Linked DNA regions of Lonchura striata. The protein of the gene in region 3 purifies or fractionates together with the protein of the main gene of each other region. This does not show direct contact. Links are inferred from orthologs where the notes say so. Each region holds a gene or a part of one and is shown on either strand. Other genes may lie near its edges. The genes, in order: MAPK1, ATP5PO, PTPN5 and MAPK14.

Region 1 (7,544 bases), on a different chromosome or scaffold from region 3:
CAGAATGACCAAAACAAAAACGGGTTAGAAAGGGGCTGTGACAGGGATCCACCTCCTACCACTTCACCCTCTGCAACAAGAGTAAGGCAGAAGCCTGCGTCACAGGCTGAACGATTCTGGCAGAGTTGAACTGGAGGACATTAGGTTGGGGTTTGGCCTGATAATGTGTCTTTTCTGCTTACGAAGCTGAGAAAGTGCAACCACAACACAGCAGTAAATATACTGCTCTGCTGAGTTTATTTTTGTTCAAAATCTGATTATGTAAAAAAATGACTGCACTAGGGAAAACAGTTAAATGCCTTTAAGGGTTTTCAAATCCAGATGAGAGAACATTCACGTACAGTCTCTTCAGCCAACATCTTCTTCTATTTCCTGTACTGGTATTTTATGTTGTGATCAATATTTCTCAAACATTATTCTCTCTGCTGCAAAATCAAAATGGAAGACTGGCCATAACAGCACTGTCCTAAGAATACTTCATTTGCCCTTTTACTCATATAATCGAAAGCATTTTATTGTTTTCAAATCCCTAATCCAATAATGTAGAAACATAAGAATCAGGATAAAACAAGAGAGAGAGTGAAGGATTTTAAGATTCAAAAGACACTCGTTTGCCAAGTAACAAGCCTTATGGCACAGTGCACTTGTAAATAACCATCATCTCCAAAGAGCTCCACATTAGCTGTGGGTCTAAAACAAAACCATCAGGACCTGCTTTGCTTTCCTTTATTAACGTGTACAAATTTAAATGGATTTTGCAGTTGCAGGAAACATCTCCATCTGCACACTCACAGCTTGCCCTCTACCCCACCCCCTGAGGGAGAAGCTTCTGCAGATCCTCACTGCATTAGCAACCAGAGCAAAACAAGAAACACAGAGCAGTAAACTGCTCAACCTGCATGGCTGGGATTGATAGGCAATCGCATTTCATCGCAGTCACCACAATAGGGCACAGCTGCTATGGCACTGCTACAAGTGCATCCAACACTTTCCTGATCGTGTACACGCCATAAACTGAGACTTTGTTCCCTGTCATTTCACACCCAAGGCACAAGAGCAATAATCACAAGCACAAAATACATAATGTGGCATTTTATGTTAATAATTTTACAGACAAGTGCAAGGAGCCAAGTGTGTATTTCAGCTGAACTGGAGATTTGGAAATTATCAATTTGATAGTGATTTTGCACAGCATTCACAGCAGACACAAAGTATCAGAAGAAGTTTTCAAATAAAAATCAGTCTTTTGGATTTAGAGTGGAAACAGCTTCAGTGTAGAAGTTTACCACACACCATTTGGAGGGGCAGAAGTGGCCCCGTTTCCCCTGTATCTGAACACTGGCACAGGGATGCCAAAAAAGGGCATCAACTGCCATCATGCTGCTTCTTGCAGTCCCTCATCTGTGGTGAAATATTTTAGCTTTTCACTTTGATTGTGAAACCCAGTTTTTAACACCCCATTGAAGTCAACTGGACTGTCCCCAGCACACACCTCAGCTACGCTACTCCCCAGGACCTTCAAAAACCTGACTGTGAATGCAAACCAGTGCAGCCACTACTGAGATTATCTGCATTCATTTCCTTACACTGCTCCAGATGATAAAATAACCATAATAAAATACAGCCTGTACCAGAAGATATATCAACAAATTTTGGACTAGATATATTGCTGTGATTTCTAACACTGAAACAATAACAAGGATATTTTTTATACAGTAAATAGGATTTTTGATTTACATTTTGAAGAATCTTCCCACAGCAAAGTAAGAAAAGTGAAGGCCACAACACAAAACTCTGAGAGAGGCTCATCTCCCAGCTGAACTCAGGCCTAGATGAAAGCCCCCTCCCTGAAACACACAACGACTTCATCCTGACAGGCCAGCACAATTCAGTGACTATGTGCAAAAACCTACAGCTATAAAAATCTATGTAGCACACAGCTGAAGGCTGTGAGGTGTCCTCGCTGAGAAATACACTGCTTTACAAAAGATTCCCCATCAGAGAGAGAAATTAATGCTGATAAAGCTTTCATTAAGTCACAGCCTGTAAGTTGCTTTTAGTACTTCTGGTCAAAAATCATACTGAAGAAACAGAGGCAGCGTTGCAAAGAAGTTGATAAAACAGCAATAAAAAAGAATTTTTTATCTGCATCCCTTAAGTTATTTCAGGACTACAGGGTTTTTTTAACTAATGGAAGACAAAATATGAAATCCTAAGTAAGGCTACTGAGCATGCCAGGTTAATAACCTAGTCATTAGATGCACAGATCAGACAGCATCACCCCAGCTCATTGAGACTGCTAAAAAATCCATCTCACACTCTCAATCCAGTTAGTTCACGTTTTTTGTAGTTCGTTCACGGCTCTCTGTAAGACCGATGTTACCCACAGCAAACCTACACGATCGCTTTTCAGCGAGACTCAGACTAAGTCTTTATAATACAATATAATTTAGACCTAGGAAGGCTGAAGATAACTTTCACCTGCACACAATAAGGCAGGCACTAATCCGGCCAGCTCTGCAGCACAGACAGCACGTCCTGAGCAAAGTCAGGCAGCGGCAGCAACTCCTATGCTCGGATTCACCTTTTTTATCCCCGCGACCTCGGCTGCTGCAGCCAGGTGAGCCCTCGCAGGGCACTGGAAGGGACGCGGGGCTGCCAGCAGGATTTACTACCTCCTCCCCTTCCTGAACGTCTGCAATCGCACTACGGAGACGGAGGAAATAACGAGAGCGACCAACTCCAGAGGCACAAGATTTAAAGAAAATAAACGCAGGAGCGAAACGAAACGAGACGCTCAGCTGCACCCACCGACCGAGGGATGGGGGGGTGAAGGGAGGGAAAGAAGGGTGATGCCGGAGAGACAGCCTCGGGAACACGGAGAGGAGGCAGAGCTGAGGAGCGGGAGGCAGAGCTGCTCCCCCTCCCCGAGGGCAAGGGCGGGCCAGGCCCGCGGCCGGGCAGGGCGGCGGGAAGGAGGGAGGGAAGGGAGGAGGGAGTTGTCCGGGGCAAGGGCGCTGCCCCGGCGGCTGCACTCACCACACCATGCCGTAGGCCCCCTCGCCGATGTAGGAGAGGTTGGTGTAGCGCGGCCCCACGTCGAACACTTGTCCCCGCACCATCTCCGGGCCGCCGGCGCTGGCGGAGCCGCCCGCAGCCCCTGCCCCCGACACCGCCGCCATGTTGTCCGTGCCGGGAACCGCGGTGCTGCGTGCGGGGGGGCGGAGGCGGGCGAGGAGGGGGGCGAGGAGGAGGATGCGGGAGGGAGGAGAGAGGAGGAGGAGGAGAAGGAGGAGGGAGGAAGAGGCGCCGCCCGCTCCGGCCGCTCCGCCGCTCTCGGCCCGCCGGCCCCGTCAGCGCCGAACCCGCCGCGGCCGCTCTGAGGAGGCGCCGCCGGCCGCGCGCGCGCACCGCCCGGCCCGGGAGGTGCAAGGGGGGAGCGGGGGGGGCGAGGACGCGCGCGCAGGGAGCGGCGCGGGGCGGGGCCGCGCGCGCAGGGGGCGGGGCCGGGGGCGGGGCCGGGGACTGCGGTAACCGCAGCCGCTGGGGAGGGGGCGCGGCGGCCGCGGGTCACGTGGGGCGCGCGGCGGGTCACGTGGCCGCGCGGCGCCATTAGAGGCGTCAGGTGACGGGCGGGAAATGGAGCCGGGCCCGGCCGCCCTCAGCCCGCTCCGCCCTGCCATGAGCGCGACTTCGTTTGTGACCCTTCCCGGCTTCACACGGTTCTGCAAACTCTTTTCAGCATAATGTTTTTACATGTAATGACGTTTTCCTGTTCGCTGCTTCCCGTATAAATGTAAATAAACTTTGTAGGGGAGGTAAAATCTCAGCTGAAGGTTAGTCATGGTTTGAGTACTGCTTGCAACCGTGCCGTATCTTTTCTGGTTTTCTGCAAGGCAGAGTTTTCCTGAAACAGCTTTTTCCTTGTTTGCAGGGCTTCATGCACAAGGATCTTAACTCCAGTTCTGCCCTTTCCAGCAGTTCTCTAATGACCCTGACAGAAGTACTAACCGTGGTTACTACTGATATTTTCTCTGCCAGCATCTCCGCTGCTTCGCGTCTGTCCGCACCCATGGCCCCGGCGATGCCTCGCTTCTCCCAACTCGCCGAGGTCGTTTCTGGCATCCCGCCTTCTCCCGGCCCTTCCTGCTCCGACCCGGCTCCTTTGCCGTCGGCCGAGCCGCCTCAGTGGTGCCCGGGGCGGGGAGCGCAGTCCCGGCTCCGGCTGCGCCCCCGGCTGCCCCAGGGCTCCGGGAGCCACCCAGCCTCGGCTGATGGAGGGAAACCTGTCAGGGACAAGCACCAAAATCCAACAAACTCGCCTCTGTCTTTAACAGGCATTCGACTCTACAGCTCGTGGTTTGTATATTTGGGTGGGATAATGCTTCTGATGTATTAATTTTTACATGTCTATGATGGTTTTTGTTTCGTGATGCGTTCTGCACTTCAGACACACAGCATTCTTTTTCTCAGAAATTTCAGACACCAGTAAATGCAAGTGTTTCAATTTTCTGAAACCAAGTACAGTATTATTTTAAAGGTTCTTTTAACTCTAAAAATGAAAATTTGCTTACAGTTCTGTTACATACATATATAACTCTGTCATTAGCAAATGCAAAACAAATTATTATGGAGAATGTAGCTTAAACACAGCCTGCCATACTAAATTTAATTAAAAACTGGTGTATATCTAAATTATTTTCTACCTTCGTGGGATGTGTCTGATCAAAAAGGAAACCAACCAGGCAGGCCAGGAAATCGTGGAAGGACTGTCAGCTCTTTTGAGCACTGTGTTCAAATATATGTCTAATCCAATTAAACCCGAGTAAATGGTCAGAGGCTACAGCATGCTCTCCCAACAACTCCTCCCATGGCAGAACTGGGTGCAGTGTTTCAGTGAAGCTCTGCAGTTGCTGAGATAGGCAGAGCAGATGGGAGTGGTATCAATCAGTTTTCACCCTACTTAAATACACTGCCATTACCTGCACTTAATGTTGGGTCTTTTGCCTTAATAAGGTGACATAAAAGCCTCAATTTTGGAAAGCACATAAACATGTTTTAAGAAAATTATGAGTTCCATGATCAAAATGAAGGGGGAGAAGAGGTGATACTTACTAAAAAATTATAGCAGATAATGAGAAGCAGAAGGAAAAGACCTTTTTATTTTGAACAGAGAAGAGTTTGTGTAAGCAGAAACAGGAATATTAAGAAAAAGCTAAGCCATTAGCTAAGTCAGTGTAAATACGTCATGGTTTGGACTGTCTCCATCTTCAGTCAAGTTCAGGAGTCACATGAATGAGTTCATCCTACAATCAGGATCTAGAAATTCCCTGCACTGTTACTCGTTTCTGCTTTAACTGTTAATTCTTGTTCTGTAAATAGGTCTCTTGAAAAGGGAACATTGTACCACAGGGCCCCTGAGCCCTGGGATCAGCAGTGCTGGGTCAGGCTGAGGACAAACAGCATGGAGCTGCCCTATGGTGTCCCTCTGTAGTGGGGGTGGGAGGCATCTCAGATCTTTGTGCTAATTTAAAACTGAAGCCACATCTCCTAAAATCATCATAATTATACCGGTTGTGTGATTTGCAGCCGTGGCTTTCTTGGTAGCTGTTGTACAAGTATGTCAGCATAAACCTGAACCTCCCCATCATCCCAATCAAACACTGGCATTAAGTACATACAGTTTTACCAGAATTATTTAAAAAGACCTCAAGCCTTTGTGCGGGGGTGATGAGAGAGAGAAATAAGACATGTTAAAATGTTTTATAAAGATATATTTTAACTTCTAAGGCACTCAGGAACCATGGTGATGGTTCTTGAAATTGCTTAGATATGAGCTCTGATCCACAGGGAACTATCCTAAGATTCAGAAAGAGCATCAGCTGGTAATAACTTCTAGTCAGTACCTACCTGGGCTTGACAGAACAGGTGACACACATCAGAAATCCCTTGAGACTCATCTTCATGTGAATGACCACTGCTTTCGCAGTGTAAAACGACCTTAATGAAAATGAGGCTATTGCTGTAATCTTGCACTGCTGGGAGGTTAAAAACAATCTCTCATCCACACTGCTGGGCCTTGGTGCCAGAAAAAATTTACTTTCCTCCCCAGTATTTCTTTTTTTCTGCATTCAACATTCTGGCAGACTTTACATGGAGCTTAGACACCATGGAGTTAAGATGAGAAAACAGATTGCTGTGGTTGTTCTGTGCATGCCAAGGGGAGCACAAAAGATTATTAATTGCAGAATGATTCTGTCAGTAACAGCCTTGATCCTGCACTGGGTATCATTCTGTCACTGTCAGAACCTGTCACTGTTGTAGGAGATGTCTTGTATTATCTATCATGTTCTGGTTAGTTTTGCTGTTCACAAATACAGTTTGAAAACACAGTTGCAATTTCAAATCATTTTCATATTCTTTAGTTTTGAACAAGTAATTTACAATCATACTCTAAATATTTTTAAAGGGATCTATTTTACAGCAACCTTAAAAGCTTATAATATAAATCTAGCTATTTTAATTAATATACTAACATTTTGTAGCTGTCTGTATAAAATTAAGTTGCTTTTATTTTTCAACTGCAGTTGTAGCAGTATCCAGGCACTGTCCTGCAGTTCAGGAATGGAAATTTCCCAGCCTCAAAGCACACTCTGTCTCAGTCAGCTGCAATAAAACTCTGAGTGATTTCAATATTGTTGTGTGCCTTACTTGTCCTCAGTTATCTGGAGCTTGTATCTTTTGAAAACCAGCTACTCCTCATGAGCTTGCTTCATCTTGCCCAAGACATGAAATTCAGTAAACAAGCTGAGGATGATAAGAGAACTGAATAACCAGATAAAAAGTTAATTTACAGGACTGGCAAAATGAAACATACGCATATTAAGTATTTACACAGCATATTACAGCGACTTGTGAGTCTTCACTGAGGTCCTGCTACATGACCCCTGTTTTCTCGTGCTGAAGCCTTGTACACTGGAAGGCTATTAAGTTCTTACAATAAGATTTAGCTAGTCTTTTGTTTCTGGTATCATTGATTGCTAAGAAATTAAAAGTTTTTACATAATTTTACAAAATTATTACATAACCTCAGAAGTCTAATAATTTACAAATACTAGAACATGCAGTGTGTTTCCCCCACATTTATTTTTGGTTCAGCTGTAGGCAGGACAAGTGATGCCTCCAGCAGAGGCAGAAGTCAAAGCATGTAAAAACAGGATTATTAGGATTTTATGTTGTCTAAATATTGCATTTTTAATGCTTTTTGCTCATAGCAAAAAATGTAGGGAACTTTTGTAATGAAGAGGTTGGCTGATGTGAAAACAGAGGAAAAAGGGTGATGCAAGAATGAATAAAAGAGAATATGGAGGGGGAGAATGTAACTTACAATTAAAATGAATAGGCAGTGGGACTGAGCTGTGGGAATAGAAGGGCCCTGGTTGGAGGGGTGATATCCAGACCCCACTGCATCTGGCTGTGTGCAAGGGAAGCCCCTGGCAGACACACAAGTCTATTCAGGGAGAACCAGTTTGGGGACTGGTGCC
Region 2 (7,660 bases), on a different chromosome or scaffold from region 3:
ACATGAACTTATGATAGTTATTTGTAAGTCAAAAATCCAGACCTTAGTCTCCAGCTTCAACACCTCTCCTTTGGCCAAGAACCCATTAAGAACACTTTTCAGTTCAGTGAGGCTGGCATCATCCAAGGGCTGAAAAAAAGAACAGATGAGTAGGAAAATGAATTACTTTAAAATACTCAAATGATATAATGATAATAAATTATATAATAATATATACTCAAATTATATGATACAAATTTTCTCCTCAGGTCCCTTTGAAGACACATTTCCACCATAACAGGGATAAGCCAAGGACAGCACAGGAACAACAACCACTTTGTGCTCTCCTGATTGCATGAAACATCTTCATGTTAGAAAAAAGAACAGGGGCAGCTCTATGCAGACCAGCCTGACTTTTGTCAGCCCCTGGGTTCACACACAGGAAGGAAAACCGTGAGCTGCTCAGTTGCAATGGGGTGAAGAGTTTTCATTTTGGAACAGGAACTGCGGGGTATCAGCGCTCTCTTTGCAGCAGTTTGTTCAGCTTGGCAGAGGTGAGACACTCTCACTGCTCTCACAGCAGCTACTTCAATCTCAGAGCGCAGCCTGAACTGGGAGAGGTCTGTCCTTTCTCCCACTCCCTGCTGCCTGGATGCACAGCTCCCCAGCCCACCTGAGCCGTGGTGACCGTGCACACCACCTCCCCTCGGAAGGCGCTCATGATCTTCCCGAAGGCAGAGACGATGCCCGGGGTGTAACGCAGGCGGCCGTTCTCAGCCAGCAGATCTGCAAAACAGCCATGCACCACTTCACTTAACCAGCTTTGTATCTGGAAACTGATAAGCTAACCACTCCTATGACTCCTTCCCATTTTTCTGGCCAACACATTGCCTCTGGAAACCTCCCTCAGTGCCAATTACCCCATCACAGAGAGGGATTAGTAAGAGAAACTAGCAAACCCCTTCTGCCACCATGACTTCTTTAGGGTAGTTTTTGGTTTTTCATTTTATTTGTTACTATTTCTCACCCTTCAAACGCAGTGGGGTAATTATCAGTTACTCTGGACTTTAGTAAAAGGAACAGGGGAGAAAAAGCCATCATTAAGTCTGATCTCAGACTTCAGGGGTTTTGCTTGCTAGGAGAAATTGAACTCTGGAAGTTGCTCTATTCTGGCCCCTCCATCAACTACTTTCCCACTGAAATTACAGCACACCAGAAAAATTCTCTGCATGCAGAGCAGTTTCCACCATGCTGGCAGTGCCAATGCTTCTCCGGCTTGGACACAAAGCAGTTTCACACCCAAAGGAAGCATTTGCTACTTGTATCAGCCTTAGCCACCTAGTCAGTGGATGTCTCCTCTTTTCAAAATACAGCCACAGAGGACCCTGGATCTCTCTCCCTTGTAGTCTCCCCTTGAGCCACTGCAACACTGCAGGAGCAGGAACAATCTAGATCTCTGTGAAAGGGATCTGAGTTCGGAGTCACAGCCAAGTGCTCCTAAGCACCACCAGAGGCAGATCCCAGCAGCCAGCAGCTGGATGGCACTGCTGGGATGCTCTCCTGAACCCAGAGGTCACTCACTCATCAGGTTGACAGTGATCGGGGACATCTTCTCTCTTGCCAGGGCGTCGTTCACAGCTTTTTGTTTCACTGAGCTCTTGGTGTGAGGGTTCATCACCACGCTGGACAGCTTGGGGTCCTTCAGGAGACTCTGAGGGGATACACAAGGATGTGACAAACGCCAGGGGTTTTCCTGGCACCACAAAGCCCACCTGGAGCAGCCAAGGCAGGCAACAAGGGCATTCCTGTAATGACAACAAAGAGCTCTGGAGCTGATGGGAAGTGAAATGGCAGCTCCAGCTGGAGAATCAGGGAATGGTTTGGGTTGGAAGGGACCTTAAAGATTGGGTGGACAGAGACACCTTCCACTACCCAAGACTGCTCCACGCCCCATTAAACCTATCCCTGGACACTTCCAGGAGTGAAGCAGCCACAGCTTCTCTGGGCACCCTGTGCCAGGGCCTCCCCACCCTCCTAGGGAACAATTCCTTCCCAATATCCCATTTAAACACCAGGGTCACAAGCAGGCAGTGCAAGCCGGGAGTCTCACAGGTCACAGGAGCAGTCCCACAGCCCCATCCCTCCTGAGGAGCAGCAGGGAACCCTCCCCATTCCCACCCCTGGGAGTTTTGGCTGTGGAACACCTTACCCACACCCGGGTCAGCTCCTTCTCCACCTGCTCCAGCTTCTTCTGCTTGCTGGCTGCCGAGTAGAGGGCGGTGGCATAGCGCCCTTCCAGCCCGTACACCTGGATGGGGGGCTGCGGGAGCCGGGGCGGGCACTGAGCGGGGAACCGGGGGAGAGACCCCCTGCCCCCGCCGTGGCCAGCCGGGAGCCACCGTGCACCCCGCCCTCACCGTGCCCACCCCGGCCACCCGCCTGCAGCCCCTCACGACCCCTCACCCTGCCACCTCGACCAGCCTGGACACCTCCGCTAAGCACCTCGGGGACTCCTCGATATCCCCACGACCTCCACCTCCTCACCTCGACCAGCTTAGAGACCCCTCCCGCTCCCCTCAGGACACCCAGCTCCCAATCTTCACCAGCCTGGAGACCCCTGCCTCTCCCCTCAGGACACGCAGCCCCCCCAATCTTCACCAGCCTGGAGACCCCTGCCTCTCCCCTCAGGACACCCAGCCCCCAATCTTTATCTGCTTGGAGACCCCTCCCGTTCCCTTCAGGACATCCACCCCCCAATCTTTATCTGCTTACAGACCCCTCCCGTTCCCTTCAGGACATCCACCCCCCAATCTTTATCTGCTTGGAGACCCCTCCCGTTCCCTTCAGGACATCCACCCCCCAATCTTTATCTGCTTACAGACCCCTCCCGTTCCCTTCAGGACATCCACCCCCCAATCTTCACCAGCCTGGAGATTCCTCCTGCTCCCCTCAGGACACCCAGCCCCCCCAATCTTCACCAGCCTGGAGACCCCTCCCGCTGCCTTCAGGCCACCCCAGCCCCTTATCCTCACCCCCTCCCCTCACCTTGACCAGCTTGGTCACCGGTCTCGCCGCCGTCGTACTCAGCTGCCGCACCTGAGGGGGAATAAGGGGGAGAAGAGCGGGGTCGGCGCAGCCCTGGAGGGTCGGAAGGAAGGGGATGCTGGAGGGTGGGAGCCGGCGCTGTTCTCCCCAGAGCCGCCCGGGCCCCGCCGCCCCCCAGTTTCACCTTCAAGACGAGCCCGGCCGCCGCCGCCATCTTGCCCGGCCGCCCCCAGGGTCACCGCGCGCTGCGCAGGCGCGGCGGGCCACGCCCACCCCGGCGCCATTATGGGTGTCACTCGTGCCGCGGGGCACGCTGGGAGCTGTAGTTCCGCCGGGCGGCGCCTGCGAGCTGCGCGCCCCCTGCCGGGCCATCGGGGGAGCGCAGCCCCCGCGCCCGGCTGGGGTCCCTGTGACACCAAGTGTCACTGTGCCACCAGTGTCACTGTGTCATCAATGTCCCTGTGTTCCTGTGACACCAGTGTCACTGTGTCATCAATGTCCCTGTGTTCCTGTGACACCAGTGTCACTGTGCCACCGGTGTCACTGTGTCATCAATGTCCCTGTGTTCCTGTGACACCAGTGTCACTGTGCCACCGGTGTCACTGTGACACCAGTGTCACTGTGTCCCTGTGACACCGGTGTCACTGTGTCATCAGTGTCCCTGTGTCCCTGTGACACCAGTGTCACTGTGTCCCTGTGACACCAGTGTCACTGTGACACCAGTGTCACTGTGCCACCGGTGTCACTGTGCCATCAGTGTCACTGTACCATCAATGTCCCTGTGCCACCAGTGTCACTGTGCCACCAGTGTCACTGTGTCCCTGTGACACCAATGTCACTGTGCCGCCAGTGTCCCTGTGCCACCGGTGTCCCTGTGGTGTCCCTGTGTCCCTGTGCTGTCCCTGTAGTGTCCCTGTGGTGTCGCTATGTACCAGGTGTCCCTGTGCCCCTGGCATCCCTTTGTCCCCAGTGTCCTTGTGCCCTCAGTGTCACTGTCCTTATCCCCCTAGTGTTCCTGTCCCCACAGTGGCCCAGTGCCCTCCGTGTCCCTGAGCCCTGCTGTCCTCCATGGACTTCTCCAGCATGGGTACTTCCCACAGGATTGGTTCTTCAGGATCAGGCTGCCCCAGTGTGGGTCCTTTCCATGGGGTCATTCCTGCAGGAACTTCTCCCTTTTCCATGGGGTCATTCCTGCAGGAATTGATCCTTTTCCCATGGGGTCATTCCTGCAGGAACTGCCCCAGTGTGGGACCCTTTTCCTATAGGATCTCAAGCCCTTCCACCAAACCTGCTCCAGGGGGGCTCCTCTCCTCACAGGGCCTCAGATCCCTGCCAGGATCTGCTCCAGGGTGGAATTTCCATGGGATTACACCTTTTGTGCATCCCCTGCTCTGGCGTGGGCTTCACCAGGAGCTGCAGGTGGATTTCATCTCCTCCAGGGCTGCAGGTGGACCTCAGTTCCTCCATGGATTGCAGGTAGATCTCAGCTCCTCCACAGATCTCCAGGAGTTGCAGATGGATTTCAGCTCCTCCATGGATCTCCAGGGAGTGCAGGTGGATCTCAGCTCCTCCATGGATCTCCAGGGAGTGCAGGTGGATCTCAGCTCCTACATGGATTGCAGGTGGATCTCAGCTCCTCCATGGATCTCCAGGAGCTGCAGGTGGATCTTAGCTCCTCCATGGATCTCCAGGCTGCACCTCAGCCCCACCTGTCCCTCCATTCATGAGGAGCATCCCACAAGTTCTTCCAGACTCAACACTAGCTGTGCTTCCCTCCCAGAAACCTCCAAAACCTGGGATTTATTTCCTCCCCGTGGATGGACTCCATTCCAACACCTCCCAATTCAAAGGATCTTCCAGGTGGGACAGACAGCTCTGTCCCTCTCTCTGGTGACCTGAGCAGCTCGCTTAGATCCCTGAAATACCTGGAATGGTTGGCTGATGGATGGATGGATGGATGGATGATGGATGGATGGATGGATGGATGATGGATGATGGATGGATGGATGATGGATGGATGGATGATGGATGATGGATGGATGGATGGATGGATGGATGGATGGATGATGGATGGATGGATGATGGATGGATGGATGGATGGATGGATGGATGGATGGATGGATGGATGGATGGATGGATGGATGGATGGATGAGGGATGGGCTCACTCCAGGACGCCAGGACAGAGTTCCAGTGGGGCTCAGTGTCCCAGCGGGAATAAAGCAGTGGCTCCAACCTGATTTATTTTGGCTGTCAGGGTTTAATTCCCTGCTCTGTCCCTGGCTGCATTCCGGGGTGACTCTCCAAGGCACAGGGACGGGTTTGAGCCTGGCATAACTGAGACACAACTTGTCAGGCTGGGAGAGCTGGGAATGTTCACCTGGAGAGGAGAAGCTCCAGGGAGAGCTCAGAGCCCTGCCAGGGCCTGGAGGGGCTCCAGGAGAGCTGCAGAGGGACTGGGGACAAGGATGGAGGGACAGGAGCCAGGGAATGGCTCCCACTGCCAGAGGGCAGGGCTGGGTGGGAGATTGGGAATTGGGAATTGTTCCCTGGCAGGGTGGGCAGGGCTGGCATGGAATTCCCAGATTCCCCTGGATCCCTGGCAGTGCCCAAGGCCAGGTTGGACACTGGGGCTGGAGCAGCCTGGCACAGTGGGAGGTGTCCCCATGGCAGGGGTGGCACTGGGTGGGATTTGAGGTCCCTCTCAACCCAAACCCTGCTGTGATTCTATCACTCTGCTTTTCAATATCTTTAAGAACTACACTACTGAGAAAAGCATGTCTAAAATGTAGAAAAACACTTGTTTTTATTTAATAAAAATGTGGGGTTTTTGATAATGTGCTTACAGTGAAGTTTTCAAAATGATTTATTTTAAGCATGTATTCATATCCCAAATTATTTTATTGTTATTCCAGGACACTCTGTGATCTTGCAGTGTTTTAATAGACAGAAAATCTGACTTTTTTAGGCCAGGGAAGTCACCGAGTGCTGTGGGCACTTTACTGAGCTGGGGATTGGGTCAAAGTCTGATAATGCTTTCAGGAATTAAAATCAGAGCACCTTTCACAGGTTAATTTTGGACAAATAACATCCCCCAGATGATAAAGAGTTTGTACCTTGATGCCTTCCACTGGAAGGAAAATTTAAGCCTGGATAAAACCTGTCCTTGTATTTGGATATCTGTTACAATAATGGACTCCTCCATTGTCACAGATGGGAGGGGTTAGGAGTTTTTTCCTCCTGCAAAGCAATTAAATAATATATTATAAATAAATATTGCCCCTTTGCCATTTCCCTGTGTCCCTGGTTTCAGTCTGGTCACTTAATGAACAAGGTCAGGAGAAACACCTGGAAGAACATTCCCTTGTGGGCCTGTCCCTTTAGTGCTTGTAGGGTTGTGACCTTAAAGTGCTCATTTTAATCATGTGGGGATAGAAAAAATATCCTTTTTTTGTCTCCTGCTGAGTCAGACCACAACTGAGACCATGCAAAGTGTGTTTTATTTTCCTTTCACTGAGAACCCTCCAGAAAGAAGGTGACAATTCTCAGGCCATGGTGGTGCTGGGGAGGTGTTTCCCTCAGGGCCCTGCTTCAGGAGGTGTCCCAAAATCTGGAGCAAGGCTTGTCCAGTTCCACAAACAACTCATGGCACGGAGAGGTGGGAAGAGGAGTTTTTTAACAACCCACCCGAGGTTTTCACAGTGCCACAAAACCTGCTGGGTTCACCCTGCACTGGGCCAGGTCTTTGGGAAGGACCCCAAAAATCCCTCTAATGATTAAACTCCTGAGCTCAGGTTTGGAATCAGAAAACACCAAATGCTTCTCCCCTTCACCTGAAACCTGAGCTCTGTTGTTCCCCACCTGTTATTCAGGAATTTCACCTGGCTCTGCCTGGGACTGGGCACCTGGGAGTCCCAGAGGAGCCAGGCTGGAGCTGGAAACAACTTCCTGACCAGTTCCTCTGGAAAAAAAAACCTTTGGTGTTTACCAGCAGTGGGGGAATTTTCCTCTCCTGCTGCTCCAGTTCATCCCAGAGAACCTGGCCCCAAAAAGTCAGGGCCAAGCTCACCCCGTCACAACCATGGGCTTGTTCCTGCAGCTGCAGGAGGGGTTGGAGGGGCTTTGTTGGGGTGGGGTTTGTTGGGTTTTTTCCCTCTTTCCCAAGGGTTCCAGAGGCACAGCTGGTGCTGGATCCAGACCAGGGGGTGTTTTCCACACTCTGCCCCACAAGCGTTTCCCCTTGGGCAGGTAAATCAAGAGCTCCCTGGGGATGGAGCCTGTGCCCACCCTCCAAACCCCCCCTGCCCAGCACGACCTGACTCATTTCCCCATTCAAAAAGGGTTTTTCACTCACTGGCAGGGACAGAAAACCTTTAATTTTATTTTTTCCCCTCCAAACCGGAAAGAATGATTGAAAACCCACAAAAACTATCAGGGGAATTCCAAACAGGGGCAATGTCAGTTGAGTTGGGTGACTGAACTCTCTGCCCTCAGCATTACCACACTCCTCTAAAAGCTCTTGATCTGCAAAATCAAGCACCTCAAACCACATTTTCCTGCCCTCCCAGGGAAGTTTCAGGTTAGTGTTGTTTAATAGGAAAAAGATTCATTGTTATTATTTTGTTGTGCATGTGATGC
Region 3 (8,410 bases):
TCGCAAGGATAGTACTCACTGCCAGAATTCTGGGTCATAAAGTCATTCTCTGACTCAGAAGAAGGTTTACAACAGCTGTGGCAGTGATATGTACTGCAGGTGAGTCATGTTGAACTGTCGTAGACAGGTAGAAGAATTATAAAAGAGAGGCCTTATGAAATCAGGCCTTGCTCTGCTAAAATTGCCAAAGCTGGCCTGTCATTTCTTTCAAGTGCAGCTAACAAGAAATTTGCAAGTTCCCGTGTGAAGCTATTTTGAGAATGAGAAGTTCATTTAACACAACAATCTATTCTGAGGGTAAAAACAAATGCACCTGTGTAAACAATAAGGTTTTTCCCCTGAGAATGCACAAAGGAAAATGTCAACATATCTAGAGAGAGAAAATTTGATAGGCATATACAATAACCCGTACAGACCAATGAACTGAGTTTCACTATGTTGCTGACCAACTGGGCTTAACACAGTCCTTCTGAGATTTCCTACAAATATTATGAGCTTTGTGAATAAAGAATTGGCTTTCTGCATTAAGAAAATGGATTCTCAGCAGTTTTCTTCCAACATGTGGTGATCATGAAGATGCAATTGACACAAATTTAACACAAAAAAAAGAAACTATGGAAATACCCTTTACCACCTCACACAGGTCCAGCTAGAGGTGTCTACAGACACAGCATCTCCAAAATGTCTGGTTTCTAGTTTTCAACACATGCTGCACTAAGAAAAGTCAGGATTAAGTCACTGAAAGTCTTGTTGGATATTCTCTTTGTTTACTTCCCCATTCTACTGCTTGATTTGTGAAATTTCTTCTTCCAGCTGCACAATAATTCATTCAATCTCATAATTTTTACTGACAAGAGGGACCCATGTGGATTCCATCTCACGCAGCTTAGCCCCACCTGTGAGTTGCATGTTCTTCCCCTGCCAGTTCAGGTCTTGAATGTTTTTCTTCAATTTCTGAAGCTCTTTCTGGGCTTGTTCTATCATATGAACTAAGTGCTCATTGTACAACATCCAGCATTGCAGCCATGCTGGGACATGAGCTCTAGGTTCTCGATGCACACGGCCTGGTGCTCCAGCTGTGCCATGAATTGTTCACACACTCCTGCCAAGCCATGATGTTGTTTTTCTGCCTAGAGGACAAGGTGGGCAGCTTGTACCTCTTCATACTGAGTAGTTCCAGGGATTGCCAGGCCACCAGGCTTTCAGATCTTGGTCTGCATGATCTCAGTGTTGAAGGCGCTGTAGTCGTGCACGGGCAGGTAGCTGAGGTAGTTCTTGGTCAGCCAGTACTGCCGCGTCTCTTCCCCCACCAGCGCCGTGGCCACCTCCCGCACGCGCGGTGCCTCGTAGCCCTGGTCAAAGTAGGGCAGCGCATCCACCACCACATCCCCGGCCACCAGCCCCAGCACCAACATCTTGGCCATGGCTGTGCGCACTCACATCTCACCCAGCAGGACCGCACACGGCTTTCTCCCAAAATTATTTGCAGCAATTAATTTTAAGTACTTAACTAAGTCCTATAGCCTTGAATTTTATCTGCAGCAGTTCTTTAAAGTTTAGAAATAATTAGCTGATGAAAAAAAATTTTACTCCTGAAGCAGATAAAGTCAGAATACAACCTGACACCCTGTGGGTCAGGGTGTTGGTAGCAGTCCGAATAAATGATGGCTGCAGTCCTCCTGGAGTGAGAAATGTGGTTCTATTGAAGCAGTGATCCTGTAAAAGTTTTTCTAGTTTTTCTCTGAAGGTCCAGTGATGGCATAGAAGGGTCTGGTCTTCCTCTGGGAATCCAGTGAAAAAAAGCCCACTGGTGTTCCACATCTCAAATTATATCCAGGTAGGAATGCTTGGCTCCTACCCCTGGGTGGAGCATCTCACAATGGGATGATGTCATTTTATCAGCCATGCAGTGAGACTCAGTGGCCCATTAACAGAAGATAACTCCTGGTGAGAGGATGGGTTGTTGAGGAGATAAAGAACACTGCCCCACCTGGTTTTAACAGCTGATCATAAAATCCATACTTCTGGTTACATCTTGCATTGCAGTCTAAGGTGGTTAAATATTAATTTTCTATATTGTAAAATATATAGTTGCTTTCTTTTAAGAGATAAGTTTACTCTAAGACAGCTGTGATAAACACTGATAAACACCTGTTGGTGCTTAGATACAGTGTATTCACTCTTGATTTTGTCGAAGATTTTATTGCTCCTTACAATCTCCACTTGTTTTATCTTCCATAGATAACACAGAAGAGTCAGTGATGATTCTACATTATGCCTGTTACTGATTGTAAGCTGGTTTAGAGTTTTCCTTTGTTTTATTTTGCTGTCTCAGGTACATGGCTGTTTAGAAAGGTGTGATTTCAATTTCCTAAGATGGTAACCACTGGTATATTGAGTACACTATGTGAATTTACTGATTTTATACTCTGCATTATTCATAAGATGCTATTACTGTATTTATAGCCAGCTTCTTATATGCTTTAACATCTCTTTGTGCAATTATCTAAAAGACACGTGTCATTTCAGAATCTTTCCTTTTTTGTTCTGTAGCTGCTTTTCCATCCCTGTGACCAAATACATGAAGGATTGCACTGCCTTATCTTATAATGATACATTCATTGTTCTATAACAAAAGATTTGACAGTGCTTTATTTTCTACTCAGTTTTCAGGAACACAAAATTTAAAAAATTAAGGTCCTTAGATACTTCTCTCCACAGAAATCAAAATCAGGGTGTTTTTTTTTAATTCAGAGGCTAAAATTTTAGCTGATATAAATATTCTGGCAAGCATTAAATTTGTGGCATATTGGTTTAAAACAGCTCAGAATGTGATTCTAGATTAATGGGACGAAACCCCATGTTTATTGATTATGTAACTGCAAATGCAGATATGTCTCGAGTGCAGCATGCAATGTACGTACCAGCATATAACGAAATTTTCCATGCATATTCAGAAGTAGAAAATGTTCTTTTCAAATTAAATTGTATGAGATTTAAATAAATAAATAGAGTTTGGTGTTCAAATGAAGAATTCTAATGAACAAAATCAAGAAAATACATAAAATACTAGTTAAAGGAATTACTGATTTTCAGCGCATGGCTAGTGAGGTAACCACTTACTTTGTAGGCCCCCACTACCTCAACATTTAATCCTTTGTGCAGTAAGGCTACTAAAACTAACATCACAAACTGAAGTGAAGAATAGTCCCAGCCAAAGCGCTGGGACAACCTCTGCTCTCCAGCCAGAGATTGTGAATAGTGTGTTTAACAAGTCACAAGCATTTTTGGGACAACTGATCTGAGGGAAAAAAGGATTACAAGGCTACCCCACAGTACCAGCTAATCACTGGGAAAACCAAGTGGGCTTTAAACTAATTTTGAGATTGTTTCCTCCCTGCTAGTACTTCTGGACAGTAGTCCTAGTTCAGGTATTAGGTGCTGGATTTTTATGAGTACAAAATGAATAATTGCCTTTGGTGGAGTGAAGTAGGTTTATAATTGAGGAACTAACCAGTTGCAGAGGCATCTCTAAGGCTACAGTCGCGTCTCTAGCTCGAGAAGACATCAACCTTCCACCTTCTGCCTTGTGGGAACAAACCCAGCGGAGGCATCGCAGTGTCTTCAAGCGACCTTTCAGCCCCCTCTGAGCAGAGATGCCGGGAGGGGTGCCGCTGGCAGTCAGCGACCGCCGGCTCCCCTCTCTCAGGAGCCCACAGCCGGGGCCGGGCGCTGCCCCACAGCCGGGGGAGCTGCCCCACAGCCGGGGCCGGGGGAGCTGCCCCACAGCCGGGGGAGCTGCCCCACAGCCGGGGCCGGGGGGAGCTGCCCCACAGCCGGGGGAGCTGCCCCACAGCCGGGGCGCTGCCCCACAGCCGGGGCCGGGCGCTGCCCCACAGCCGGGGGAGCTGCCCCACAGCCGGGGCGCTGCCCCACAGCCGGGGGAGCTGCCCCACAGCCGGGGGAGCTGCCCCACAGCCGGGGGAGCTGCCCCACAGCCCACCCGGGCCGACCAGCCGAGCCCGCCGCCCCCGGGCATCACTGCGGCAGCGGTCCCGGCGCTGCCGGGGGCCGGGCCGGCTGCTCCCGCTCGCTGCCTGGCTGTTTCATTCATGCTTTCTCCTTCGCCATCTCCCTCTCCGACTGAGGGGAAACGGGAGCGCGCGTGGGCGGCCGCTGGAAGGCTCCCTGTCAGTCAAGCGGCCGAGCTGAAAAGAAGGCGAGCGAGGGAGAAGGAGGCAGAACAGCTTTCCCGGGGGAGGGGGCGGCTGTTGTCGGCTGCCAGCCTCGCAGCCCTTCCCGGGGGCATCTGCAGAGACGGGGTGGGGGGAAGGCGGGAGCGGTGTTGCACCACAGACCTTCCCGCTGGGGGGGAAGCGGCTCTTTCCTGTCGCTCGTCACCTGTCCCCCCTCCCCACACACGCACCCAGCGGCGACGGGGCGGGAGGCGGCGGCCGCCTTGTCTGCGAGCACCCTGGGTCCGTATCCCCGGCTCTGTGGGGGCTGCCCGTACGTGTCTGCCGGGGCACCGAGCGGGGCGAGCCCGGAGGGTGTCAGTGGTGGGGAGTACGTGGGGTAGCGCGTCCCCTCGGCTCCCCGCAGGACCGGGGAACTTCCTCAGGCTGAGGGGCGCTCCGGAGTGCCGGCACCCAGCGCAGCGGGAGGAGGCTTTCGAGGGGAGGCTCGGGGCAAGTTGCACGCTTTCGGGCGGGGGGGCGGCCCCGCAGCGGGCTGAGGTGGGCTGGCGCTCGGTACCGGCAGGGGAGGGGAGCGGGCGGCTGCCGACGGCGGGAGCGGGGCTCCGGTGCAGCGGGGCCGGGGATTCGGCGGGGGAGAGCCCGCTGCCCCCACCGTGCCGCAGCGCTGCCTTTGTGCTCCCTCCGCACCTGAGCGCCGGGCTGGGAGGGACGGCGCAGGTGGAGGCGGGCAGGCGGCAGCTGCGGCGCATCCCCGGAGCCGGGGCGGGGAGGTAAGGCGAGGCTGTGCCGTGCTGCGGCGGCCGCTCCCGGGGTGCGGGGGGCGGCTGCACGCCGGGGGCTGTGCCTCCGGCCGGCGGCGGGGGCGGCGGGCAGGACACGTCCCTTGCTTGGCTTTTCCCGCAGCCGTTTCCCGTTTCGTCCTGCTGCGCGCAGAGAGATGCAACAGCGGCAGCCCGGTCCCCTGGGGAAGGACGGGGCTTGGAGGTGGGCGAGTGGCATCAGCCCTGCCGGTGCGCGGTGAGGCTGCCGGGCGAGGGGCTGGGGCCGAGGGGAGCAGCCCGCAGGGCCCGGGCACGGCGGCGGCGCCCACAAGGCTGGGCTTTTCCCCCGCCACAGAGCGCCGGGATGCGCGGAGCAGATGCCGGTGTATGCGCCTAGCGGACCTCGCTTGGGAAGGGCTGGCGGATTTGGGGGAGGCTGCTTTCGAACTGGCACAGCCGGTTGTTAATTACCGGCTGCAGTTAAAATTTTAGCAGCAGCAACAGCTTTGCGATGCTTTCCGGGAATGCTGCTGCCTGGGAGCTGATGTTCCAGGCGGCCCGCGGTACGGGCCATCTCTCTCCTAGATGGCAGTGGTGAGAGCAGGATAGCTGTCTGTGTAGGCAATAAAGTGTTGAGAACCTGGAGTCCTGTGCAGCTGGATTTTGGTAGTTATGGGTGGAATGGAATAGCATTCACATGTGCCCTGTGAGCTTTTTTTGCAGTTAAGATAATTATTTTCCTTCAAACTTCACATACGGTTATCTTGTTATGCAATTACATTTTGGTGAGACTGGGATTGTTATGTTATGTGAGAAAGGAAAAATGAATTTAGTAGGTTAAGCCTTTTGTATTGCAAAAGGCAGCGTTATTTACAAAGTTGTCGAGGTTTGGATCCAGCTCCGCTGGCTGCCACCTGATTGACATCGATTTACAGCTGGTGGTCAGGCTCTGTGTTCGTGTTAGAGCAACAAATGACAGATTCAGAAGAAATGTGGCTCCATTACGCTCTTTTTTTTTTCTTTACTTCAAAAACGTCACATACACTGAGGAAGCAATTTTTTTGTTTGATCACAATGTTTTGTTAGTCAGTTTCAGATGATAACTTCCTTGTTGCATAAATTGTGCAGTTCAAGTTCAAATCTCAGGCAGACCCAGAGTTCATGTTGATTTTAGCACAAGTTGTATGGTGCATGACAAGGGTGCTGAATTTTACTGTGTGGGATAGCTGAAGCAAATTTTCTTGCTGCTTGCTCTACTTCCAGTTTGTTCCTTTGGAGTAGTAGAATGTAGTGATTTTGCCAATGTTGCTGTTGATATATTTGAGTTAATGTTGTACATTTGAAGCCAAGGATAGTTCAGGGGCTCAGTATATGCCCATTGAGAGAGAAGATTCAGCCAGTTGACTTGAATGTTGGTGAAATGGACATGAAAACTCTTACTCTACATTTGCAAATAATGAGTCCAAACGTTCTCAGTAGGTATGTGCAGAAAGGTAAGCACATCACGTTTGGTCGTTTTATTCCTTTTGTTATAATTAAACAGGCATTATTCTCTATAGGGTTGTGTCATTGGTTTGTTAGGTTTTTTTACTTCTTACTTAGCAGTATTATGGTTTAAGGGCTTTAAAATCTTTGTCACTCCACTGCAGAAATAGTTGCCAACAGGATGTCATGCATATAAAACTAGAACAAGAGCCTTTAAATAGCAAAACCATCAATTTAGTAACAATTTAGTGTGATAAATGGCAGAATGCACAAAAAGAATGCAAATCTGAACAATTATAGCATTCATCTTTTGGTATTAATATTGATTAAGTATAAAGCACAAAAGGCAAATAGCCACATATAGCTTTGAAGTGCCTAACCTGGTCTGAAACAGAAGAGCTGTTTTCTGCCTTGTGGGTTTTTTCCTGTTACATGGTTTGTACTTTAAAAACAAGCATGGGGTGGGGGAAAGATCAGGGAACTTTTTACAAACATTTCTTTTGTTTTCTGGATCTCAGAATTCCATTATGTAGCAGGATGCTTTCCAGTTTCTGCTTTCTCTGTATCTGTAAAGGCAGATGTTGCTGCAGTAGGAGCAATTATACTGATTTGCAGCACAATTAAAAAAAAAAAAAACTATTCTCTCTGCCTCTGTCTAAAAAGGTCAACCATGGTTTGGTCTTGTCAATAGAAGAGATGAGACAGGGAAGTTAAGTTTGTTTAACAAAGAGAGTGAAGTAATGTACAATTAGGAAATTTCTGTTTAATGAATAAAATGAGTAGATTTGCCTAACCAACTACACTGAAGAACTTCACTTGCTTGGATTTCCTTCACAATTGTCCACAAGACAACCCTTTCTGAAAGGCAGGGGGTTTAGCTAGGTTTGATCTCTCTCACCTGTGGAATGTTGAGTCCAAAGGCAGGAGAGGCAGTGGAGACTAGAGGCATGTAGGCTTTTGTAGAAGAGCATTTCTGACTTGTAGTTTTTTCAAAAGGTTCATGACAGAAGCCTATAACTGAGAACTTTGCTCTCACAGTTCATTTTCAGTTTCCTGCTTACCCTGTGCAGGCCACAGGAGCGTGTGACTGGTGTGCCCCAAGATTCAATCCATGATAAGGCCAGCTTCTTCGTTCAAACTGATGCTTAGAGGGTTTATATTGAGACTTCAGAGATAATGTGTTTCTACTTTAGAGAATATTTGAGATTTCCTTGCAAAGAGAACATGAAAATGAAATTTAAGAGCTGAAGGACTGATTTGCACTAAAGCATCTTTAGCAGAATAAGGCCAGCAGACATGTAGAGTATTTGTGTGCTGCATGTATCCCTGCTACCACAGAGAGAGCAAGCTATATGACAGTCAAGAAAGGCAAAGGTTTTGAATATCTCTGGAACATCACAGTATTTTTTATTTCATGATGGAGCTCATGTTCTTTTCAGACTCCTCTTAATTCTACCCAGAACTAAGACTGTTCTGATTCTATGCAGAACCAGACTGTCCTGTGATTTTGAGTGACTTTAAAGAGTTAGTATGGTAATAATTGACATCTTAGAAAATAGATTCAAGCTCCTGTGTTGTAAGAGTCCTGATCTGTGACCAGCTAAAATGCCAGTAAGTCGTAAGTTATTGGTTTGTTTCTTTTTTACTTCCTTATTTAGTGACCTACTGCATGTAACCTGGCTCCTAACCTCTTTGGGGCAGGACCAGCCTTTCCTAACTTGTTTCAACAAGGCTCAGATCCTTGTTTGCATCTAGGAGATGGATGTAGTAGAAAGTATCCCTCTGGTAACCTTGGTTTAAGGTCATGAGTAGCTGCCAAAAATATTTAGGATTTGCAGGAGTTGGATCTCTAGCATAAAAATTTTATTTCTTGTTTGTTTTGCAATTCAGTATCATATTTTGTTTCATTCTGTGTGTAGGGGTATAACAGCTGGACAGTGCAACTTTGTGTATTTTTATAGCAAT
Region 4 (7,467 bases), on a different chromosome or scaffold from region 3:
TCCCTACGTGAAATATTACAAAATGGATATATCAGGAACTCTTTTTTTCAATGCAGGCCTGGTTACAAAAGCCATGCAAAAGACTGTGTTGAATAAATACACAAAATGTTGCAAGAATGAATGAAACAGCATTTCCTACAACAGGTGCCATGGCAATTGTTACGTGACTTAGGAAGAATCAATCTGAGGATATGCGTAGATTTTTCTCTAAGTTTTGGAAACAAATCCCTATTTGTATCTCTAACACTTGTAGTTCTTAAAAAATAGATCCTGAAAAATACTTGAGCTGGCCATTTGAACCTCATTCTTGCAACACTGCACACCACCCCTCAGAAAACACTGCAATATTTGCTCTCACTTCAGGCAGTCCTGCAGAAAATGCCTCTCCCTCCATCCACTGACTCCCCAGTTGTCAGGTTTGTGTATTAGGGAGTTCCAAGCCATATTCAAAGCAGCTTACAACAGCTCCATAGTCTAAGTGACTCATCTGGCAGCTTAATGCTTCCTTTTTTATTCATTTTCCCCTCCACTTTCTGGAGATGCCTCATTTTCAAATGCCTCATTTTGACAACTTAAACAACAGAGCATTTGATTACATTTGAATATAATAATAGTGAACATACATGAAAATAGATTTACCATTTTAAGGATTGTTAAAACACCACTATGTACTATCCCAACAGGGATACACCAAACACCAAATGAAATTAGGTGGCTTTTTACTGGAGAGGAAAAAAATCTCTAAAGGGACAGAGCAGAATAAGTCCTCGCAGGAATACCGTAAGTAATATGCATCACCACTTGTAGCTTAATAAGCATCCATAAATATGCAAAAGTTTTTGTCGTTTTCTTGAATTTTTCAATTTTGACATACTTTCCATATCACTATATCTTTTCTGAAAACTATTTTTAGAAGAACATACAGGAAGCCATTAACATGGACTGTAAAAAAAGTCTGCCACATGTCTGAAATTGCTTCCAATACAAAACTGTTTCACTTGGTCTGAATAAAGTTGCACAATCTTTCAAAGTTTTGACACAGCAGAACAGGAAATTCATGATGCAAAGTCTTTAGTTACTGGTTGAAAACAAACTTTGCAACTATTACTTATACAGTGGAGTTTACAGGGAGGGAGAAAAGAAAATAGGAGTGGGGTATATGATGTAGAATCAACCTTAAAATACAAAGGACAAGGCACCAAGCAAATTTATTTCCCATTACATTTCAGAAGTTGCATAACTCTGTGACACCGACAGGGGTATTTATCAGCTGTGTCAACAAGGTTCTTCTTTCACCAAAAGAAACCTGTCTATTCCTTTCCAATCAAAATTATTCTATAATTATATTAAAAAAAAAAAAAAAAAAAAAAAAAAAACAAGAAACAAACCAAAAACACACCTCAGCAAATATACTGGTTATTCTCACTACAAAATTGACCAGCCTGGTTTACTTTTATGAAATGCAAGCCTCTGCACACTTCAATCACAGCATTTTAAAAAATGCAAGTTATTTAAGCTCAACTCTACCAACAATTTTATAACAGGTTAAGAACAGCTGAGCATTTCATTAAAACTGTAGCATGTCCAAAGGAGCTTATTTTCTGTACTAAGAGAATGCAGCATGTGTCCCTCCTTATAATAAAACTGATACCCATAATGTAAATTTGCATACATTAATAAACACATATGCATGCCTGCTCCAACAAAACAGCAAAGCAGCTTTGTAATTATGCACCCATATTTCAAAATTCTGCTCACACTTTGACAGAAGCAAAGAACACAGAATAAAACCCAAAGACTCAGGTGGAAGATGTTTCTTAATCAAAGGAGGCAGTAATCTGTGCACATTTAACTAAATGACTGCTAAAGTCTAAGAGTCAAACCGATTCAAATACTACCTTGTCTTTAAGGTTAAGCCAAGCATGCAGCTCTATTTATGTTTAATGATCCACCGCAGTCCAGCAGAGAAGCTACAAATTAAGGACGCATTGTATCTCACACATGCAGCCTGGTTTGTTCCTATTAGGTAAGCATTAAAAACTAAACTCTTCAAGCTCCCTGTATTCCTGCAGGTCTCATAGCAGGACTTTACTCTCCCAGGGAGCACATGCTGCAGTAATTCTATAGCAATAAAACGAGTCCTCCTGTGTTCATCTATTATTGCCAATAAAATATCGGTGCTTGTAAATCCACTATTAACAAGTCAGGAATACAAAAACAGCCCTCCCTACATTCTATTTCTTGCCTATCAACAAATTCCGGATGAAAATACAACTGACTCAAATACAATTTATTCTTCAGGTCCAGAAAGAAAACTGGGACAAGAGCTGCCAAGCCCTTAGCTCTGCAAAGCCACCTATGGCGGGGGGGGCTTTCCAGGCTGCATCCCTCTGCACTGCCCACCTACAAACTGCAAGAAATCACAGTGAAATATGTCCGTAAGTCACTGAAATATATCCATATGAGCTCATTCGGGGCGGGACGGGGGGGAGCCGGCAAGGACACATTATTATCTTCCCCTGCAAAAATGTTTCGGAGCCACCTGCCATGTGGTGCAATCCCCGACGCATTCCAAAGACGAGACTGCGGCTTCCCGGCAGCACCGCGCGTAAACCCGGGAGGAGAAGTGTCTCTTGCAGGAGGCCGGGGGGACAGGAACCCCCGGGGCACGGAGCAGCCCCGCTCGCCGCGGTGCCCGCCCCGCACGGACCCGGCAGGGCGGCGGGGCAGCGACCTAACGCGACCTCCCCCGCACTGCCCCGTCCCCTCCCTGCGCTCACCACACCGAGCCGTAGGCCCCGGAGCCGACCGGGGAGAGGTTCTGGTAGCGCTCGGGCACCTCCCACACCGTCTTGTTCAGCTCCTGCCGGTAGAACTTGGGCCGCTCCTGAGACATCTCGGTTGCGGAGCCCGCCCCGCCCGGCCCGGCGGGAGGGGGAGGCTCTGCCTGCGGCTGCAGCAGCACCGCCGCCGCCACTACCTCCTCCTGCTCCTGCAGCGGCACCAGCGACTTCTTCCTTCCTTCCTTCCTTCCTCCTTTCGCTCCCTCCCCTCGGCGCTCCGGGCGGGGGCGGCCCCGCAGCAGCGACGCCCCCGCTGCCGCCGCCGGCCGCTCCCGCCCCGCCCCGCTGCCGCAGCCGCGGGGGGCGAGGCCGAGCGCGGCCGTGTCCCCGCCTTCCCCCGCCGCTCTCCCTCCCTCTCTCCCTCCGCGGGCAGCGCCGCGAGGGGCTGGATGGCCCCGAGAGGCGCGGCCGGCGGTCGTGCGGCCGAGCGGCGAGCGAGGCGGGGGCGCCGGCGCGCGGGGCGGGGACACGCTGCCGCCGCAGGTGGGACGGCGCAGGCGGCGCCGCAGCCACCGCCTCCGCCCCTCGCTGCGACCTCGTACACAGCGCAAACAGCGCCGGCCCCGCTGTCCCCGCTGTCCCGGCACGGCCCGGCACGGCCGCGCCCGCGGAGCTCCGCGCACCGATGCCCAAGATGGAGCCCGCGCGGCGGCGTCTCGCGAGAGCGGCGCGGAGGGCGGCGCGAACCGCCCGCGCCTCAGCGAGCGCCTCGCTTCTCCCCGAGGTGTTCCGAAAGTGAAAAAACAAAAGGAGAATCGATGAGAATGCTTGCGGAAGCTTGCGAGTTGGTGTGAATTGTTTCTAAACTTCCCGAGGATGGTTTGTTCCCTTCCAGAGGTGTTGAGGAGAGCTAAGCTCGCGCTGCACACATTTCCCAGTGTCCTGATCGTTCTCTGTGTTTTTTGAGAATAAGCTGCGTCTCAATACTGCTCAAAAGGCCTTGCAGTATCAAAGACACAGATGTGTTTGCTTTCCAGTACATGCATAAGTCTAAAGTTATTAAGTGCGGCAGATTAAGCTGACTTTGGAGTGGAACCCATGGTGTCTTCACCAGACAGTAAGTACAGAATATCACAGAAAATAATTCATGTTCAGGCCACTTAGCTTTTAATCTCAAGCTTTAGAAAGGTGAATTGTTAGCAAGATACACACATTCTGAATGGGTCACGGAAGCTTGCTTTTAAAACATTTGGCTTCCCATATCAAACCCCTTCTCTACACAAAGTGGCACCCTCTCCTATGGTGGTGTAAGTCATTGAAGCCCACAGGAGTAAACACTTAAAAGTTACCACTGCTTGCACCTATAAAGTAACTACTTCTTGGTATGTTAGGATTCTTAACACCTTTAATTTGCAAACTCTTGCTGTTAGTTTTGCATGTATGACCTTGCCTTGAAAAGGGTGATTGTGCTCAAGGATGTCAGACACACCTCGCCCTGCTGTGGTTTGGAGTGGCTGGGGATGTGTATGTGTACAAGACAGTAAATCTAATGCTGGAGTCCCTGCTGTGGTATCAGAACAAACAGGTCTCAGTGATTGTGCTTTTGTTTCTTTGTTTTAGTTTGGTTTGACTATGAATATTGCAGTTTTCTTTCTGAATCTCTTTTTGGATCTAGTCTGGACTCTCAGTGGTTATGGCTTTTTCTGTTCTGCTAAGTCCTCCTATGAAAGTAAACACAGAATCTCTTATTCATCATTTATCTGGGCTTTGTTTCAGTGTGTACTGAAACTTAAACTGTTCTCTTGAGACGGGGACAAGGCTTGAGACTCAAGACTGAGCCACTGGGTGAGGTTCTCCAAGGTGTGGTGAGCTAATCTATCAGCCTGCTGCTGCCAAAAGGGACAGGACCACACAGGGAAAGGAAAGCAGGGGAGCCAGGCTTCTCTTTCTGGATAACCAGCTCTTTCATCAGCTTAGCCACGTGTGGTACTGAAGCCTGAAACTACGGGTCTTGTCCAGCTTACACTGCTGTAAAGGAATTTTCAGGTGATAAATGCAGGCAAACAGAGCTGTAGTTTGAGTTGGTGTTGTTTTCTCAGTAACCATGAAGACTTGTCAACAAGGTTACCTTCTGTAATAGTGAGATCATTTACATTGTGCAAAAGCCTTCTGTTCTGTCATTTAATATCTTTAAAAATCTAAGATGGAGATTGGATGAAATTCTGGAGTCAGAGAAACAAAATCACTTGATGGCAAGAGTTGAATCGTGTATAACTGTGACATGTGATGTAGAGTTAAGAGTCTGTCCACCCAAAATTACCTGATGTAATACAATAAGTTTTGCCCAGAATTCAAAGGCAGAATTTTGCTAATATTATTGGAAACTTTATCATTGCATTGTCTAATAAGAAAATATATTTTATTTCTTCCTCCAGCTCATTGTTTAAGAAAAATGTCTGCCTTGCTTCCTCATGATTTTTCCCTGTTTCTTTGCCACTTCCCTGTTTCATGTGTTTTTTCTGTTCTCCATTTTGTATGCACTTGTCAGCAGAGCCACCCTGACAGTGAAATTATGGAGGGGGACACAGCTCTGTAATGTTAATGTGAGTCCCCACGGTCACTGTTCACAGTTCAGGGATGTCAAAAGCCTTACTTATATTTGGGTTGTGAATAAAAAAAAAAAAAAAAAAAAAAAAAAAAAAATCACCAACATGCCAGGAATTAAAAGGGGGAAGAAGGAGCACTGGGCGGTGGGGTTAGTCAGAGTTTAGCTACTGGAAATTTTGATTCAAACACATACATGGGAAATATATCATGTAGGTCAAGTCCTGATTTAACCCACTCACTAAATAATTTAATTCAGGAAACATTTGTCTCATTTTGGGGAGGTGGGATAGGTTTGTTAATTTTTGCTGCCCAGATGCAGTGTTTATGTGGTTTTCTTCTAGGTCAGAACAGGAGGAATCAAAATACCATCCCCTCTTTTTTCTGCAGTGTTAATTAGGTCAAGCAACTGATGTATCCAGTGCTCTGTGCTTCTCCAGCTATCAGGTGAACAGCACACAGAGCATTTGTGATTCATCTGAGTGGCATGCAAGGGCACAGAGGTGCCTGCCTGGGATGGATGGTGTGTGCCAGCTCTGGGATAACACCTGTGCCTGCAGAGAGCAAACACAGCAAACCTTGGTGGGCACAGGAGGCCACACAAGAGCACTGCAGAGACACAGGTGGCTGCTTTGGACAGGCAGAAAGTTGGGTGAGTTAGAATCTACTGCAGAACAGCTTGCTGAAGTCAGGCTGAACAGCAGAAGGTAGAATATTTGGCTTGACATTTAAGCCTTCACGTTAAATTATCCTGCCAGTAACTTAAATATTGTCATGGAGTTGAGGAAATGCGGCTGGGTAGATCCCCTTTTGAATTCTCCATTTTTTCACAAATGTAATGGATTGATAATCCAGTTTGTTGCTTTGAGTCCTGTGTTCCTGTTTGGGCAAAGACATCTTTGTGTGCAAGCTGGAGAAGCATCCTGTTGAGTTTTGCAGGAGGGAATGACTTTGTTGTTGTTGTTTTTATTTCTCTGACAGAGTGAGAATCCTGCCAGCGGAGGGCAAAAGCTCCAAGTTTTTTATTTCCAGAGGTTACTGCACCAGCTGTCTTTGGGATGATGGGGGAAGTGAAAAACAGAGATAGCTTGACTTCCTGAAGAACTGGAGCTTATGCCTTTTCTGTCAGTATTCTGCAATAATTTTTAAGCTTGGTAGCTGTCTCAGCCAAGTTTGAATTGGGCAGGTGGCTGGAAATTCCAGGAAAAGCAATTGTTCTGAGTAAAATATTCCAGTAGTTGTCCCACCTAGGGAAAGAATCCAGTCTTGGGTAATCATCCTGTGCTGGGGTCCTACACCTGAACGAGGCAAGAAGGAGAAGAAAACCCTCCCCAAATCTGGAGGAAAGCAGGGTTCCTGACTTCTGCTGCTCATGAAACCACTTGTTTAACTCCCTCACCTTGGCATTGCACAAAATAGTCTAATGCAAGGATATTGACCTTTCAAACTCTTCCCCCATAGAAAAAGCTTCAAAGAATGAAGGTGACACTAAATATTCACCAGTCTCCCTTTAATGCAGGAAGGTGGGGAGCACCCTCACAGAGGTGACTGTTTCCACAGGAGCCCCCTTTGAGGTGAGGCTGCCTGGGAATGCAGCAGGGACCCACAGCAGCTCAGGGGTGTCACCTCCAGCAGTCCCTGTGAGCCCAGTTCCTCGAGGGCTGGAGGTTTGGGCTGTCCTGTGCTCCCATGCCAGCAGGGCCCTCTCGCTGCTCAGGTGGTGTCACCTTGTTATGGGAACTGCATTTGACCACCTTGACACTCTGGCCACCCTTGGCTAAGAGTTATATCCAGATATGAACTTGGATTTTCAAGAAGACTGTGTAGAGTCTCTTAACTGCAGAGAAAACTGAATCCTGGATCTTCTTGGACTGAAAGACAGGAAAAACTGAAGGCCCAAATGGTATTGAGTAATTCTCAAACCACATATGCTTCCCTACATTGTTCTGGACAGTGGCTTCATGCCAAGCTTCTCTCAGCTCTGTTCAAAATGAGTAATGTAAAACCCATGAAAGGCATAGCCCTAATTTTCAGATTCTATTGGCTCTCCTATGACAGCTTTGATTTAAGATGAAATGGA

The links.
Region 1: the proteins of PTPN5 (region 3) and MAPK1 purify together in Homo sapiens (affinity purification with mass spectrometry; 4 studies listed by BioGRID and IntAct, with this or other methods). This does not show direct contact. The link is inferred for Lonchura striata from reciprocal best matches to the Homo sapiens genes PTPN5 and MAPK1.
Region 2: the proteins of PTPN5 (region 3) and ATP5PO purify together in Homo sapiens (affinity purification with mass spectrometry; 3 studies listed by BioGRID and IntAct, with this or other methods). This does not show direct contact. The link is inferred for Lonchura striata from reciprocal best matches to the Homo sapiens genes PTPN5 and ATP5PO.
Region 4: the proteins of PTPN5 (region 3) and MAPK14 purify together in Homo sapiens (affinity purification with mass spectrometry; 3 studies listed by BioGRID and IntAct, with this or other methods). This does not show direct contact. The link is inferred for Lonchura striata from reciprocal best matches to the Homo sapiens genes PTPN5 and MAPK14.

What each region holds. Positions count from the first base shown.
Region 1 is NC_134620.1:7,339,936-7,347,479, reverse strand, and holds the start of MAPK1 (mitogen-activated protein kinase 1), read right to left. Parts: upstream 3,395-7,544; 5' UTR 3,183-3,394; coding exon 3,040-3,182; intron 1-3,039. UniProt on the Homo sapiens protein: Serine/threonine kinase which acts as an essential component of the MAP kinase signal transduction pathway. MAPK1/ERK2 and MAPK3/ERK1 are the 2 MAPKs which play an important role in the MAPK/ERK cascade.
Region 2 is NC_134604.1:116,173,024-116,180,683, reverse strand, and holds the start of ATP5PO (ATP synthase peripheral stalk subunit OSCP, mitochondrial), read right to left. Parts: upstream 3,286-7,660; 5' UTR 3,239-3,285; coding exon 3,209-3,238; intron 3,076-3,208; coding exon 3,025-3,075; intron 2,300-3,024; coding exon 2,189-2,299; intron 1,691-2,188; coding exon 1,561-1,690; intron 766-1,560; coding exon 653-765; intron 130-652; coding exon 43-129; intron 1-42. UniProt on the Homo sapiens protein: Subunit OSCP, of the mitochondrial membrane ATP synthase complex (F(1)F(0) ATP synthase or Complex V) that produces ATP from ADP in the presence of a proton gradient across the membrane which is generated by electron transport complexes of the respiratory chain.
Region 3 is NC_134608.1:47,987,421-47,995,830, forward strand, and holds the start of PTPN5 (tyrosine-protein phosphatase non-receptor type 5), read left to right. Parts: upstream 1-5,027; 5' UTR 5,028-5,136; coding exon 5,137-5,209; intron 5,210-6,294; exon of another isoform or gene 6,295-6,380; coding exon of another isoform or gene 6,381-6,453; intron 6,454-8,410. UniProt on the Homo sapiens protein: May regulate the activity of several effector molecules involved in synaptic plasticity and neuronal cell survival, including MAPKs, Src family kinases and NMDA receptors.
Region 4 is NC_134632.1:4,665,742-4,673,208, reverse strand, and holds the start of MAPK14 (mitogen-activated protein kinase 14), read right to left. Parts: upstream 3,118-7,467; 5' UTR 2,897-3,117; coding exon 2,781-2,896; intron 2,332-2,780; exon of another isoform or gene 2,302-2,331; intron 781-2,301; exon of another isoform or gene 684-780; intron 1-683. UniProt on the Homo sapiens protein: Serine/threonine kinase which acts as an essential component of the MAP kinase signal transduction pathway.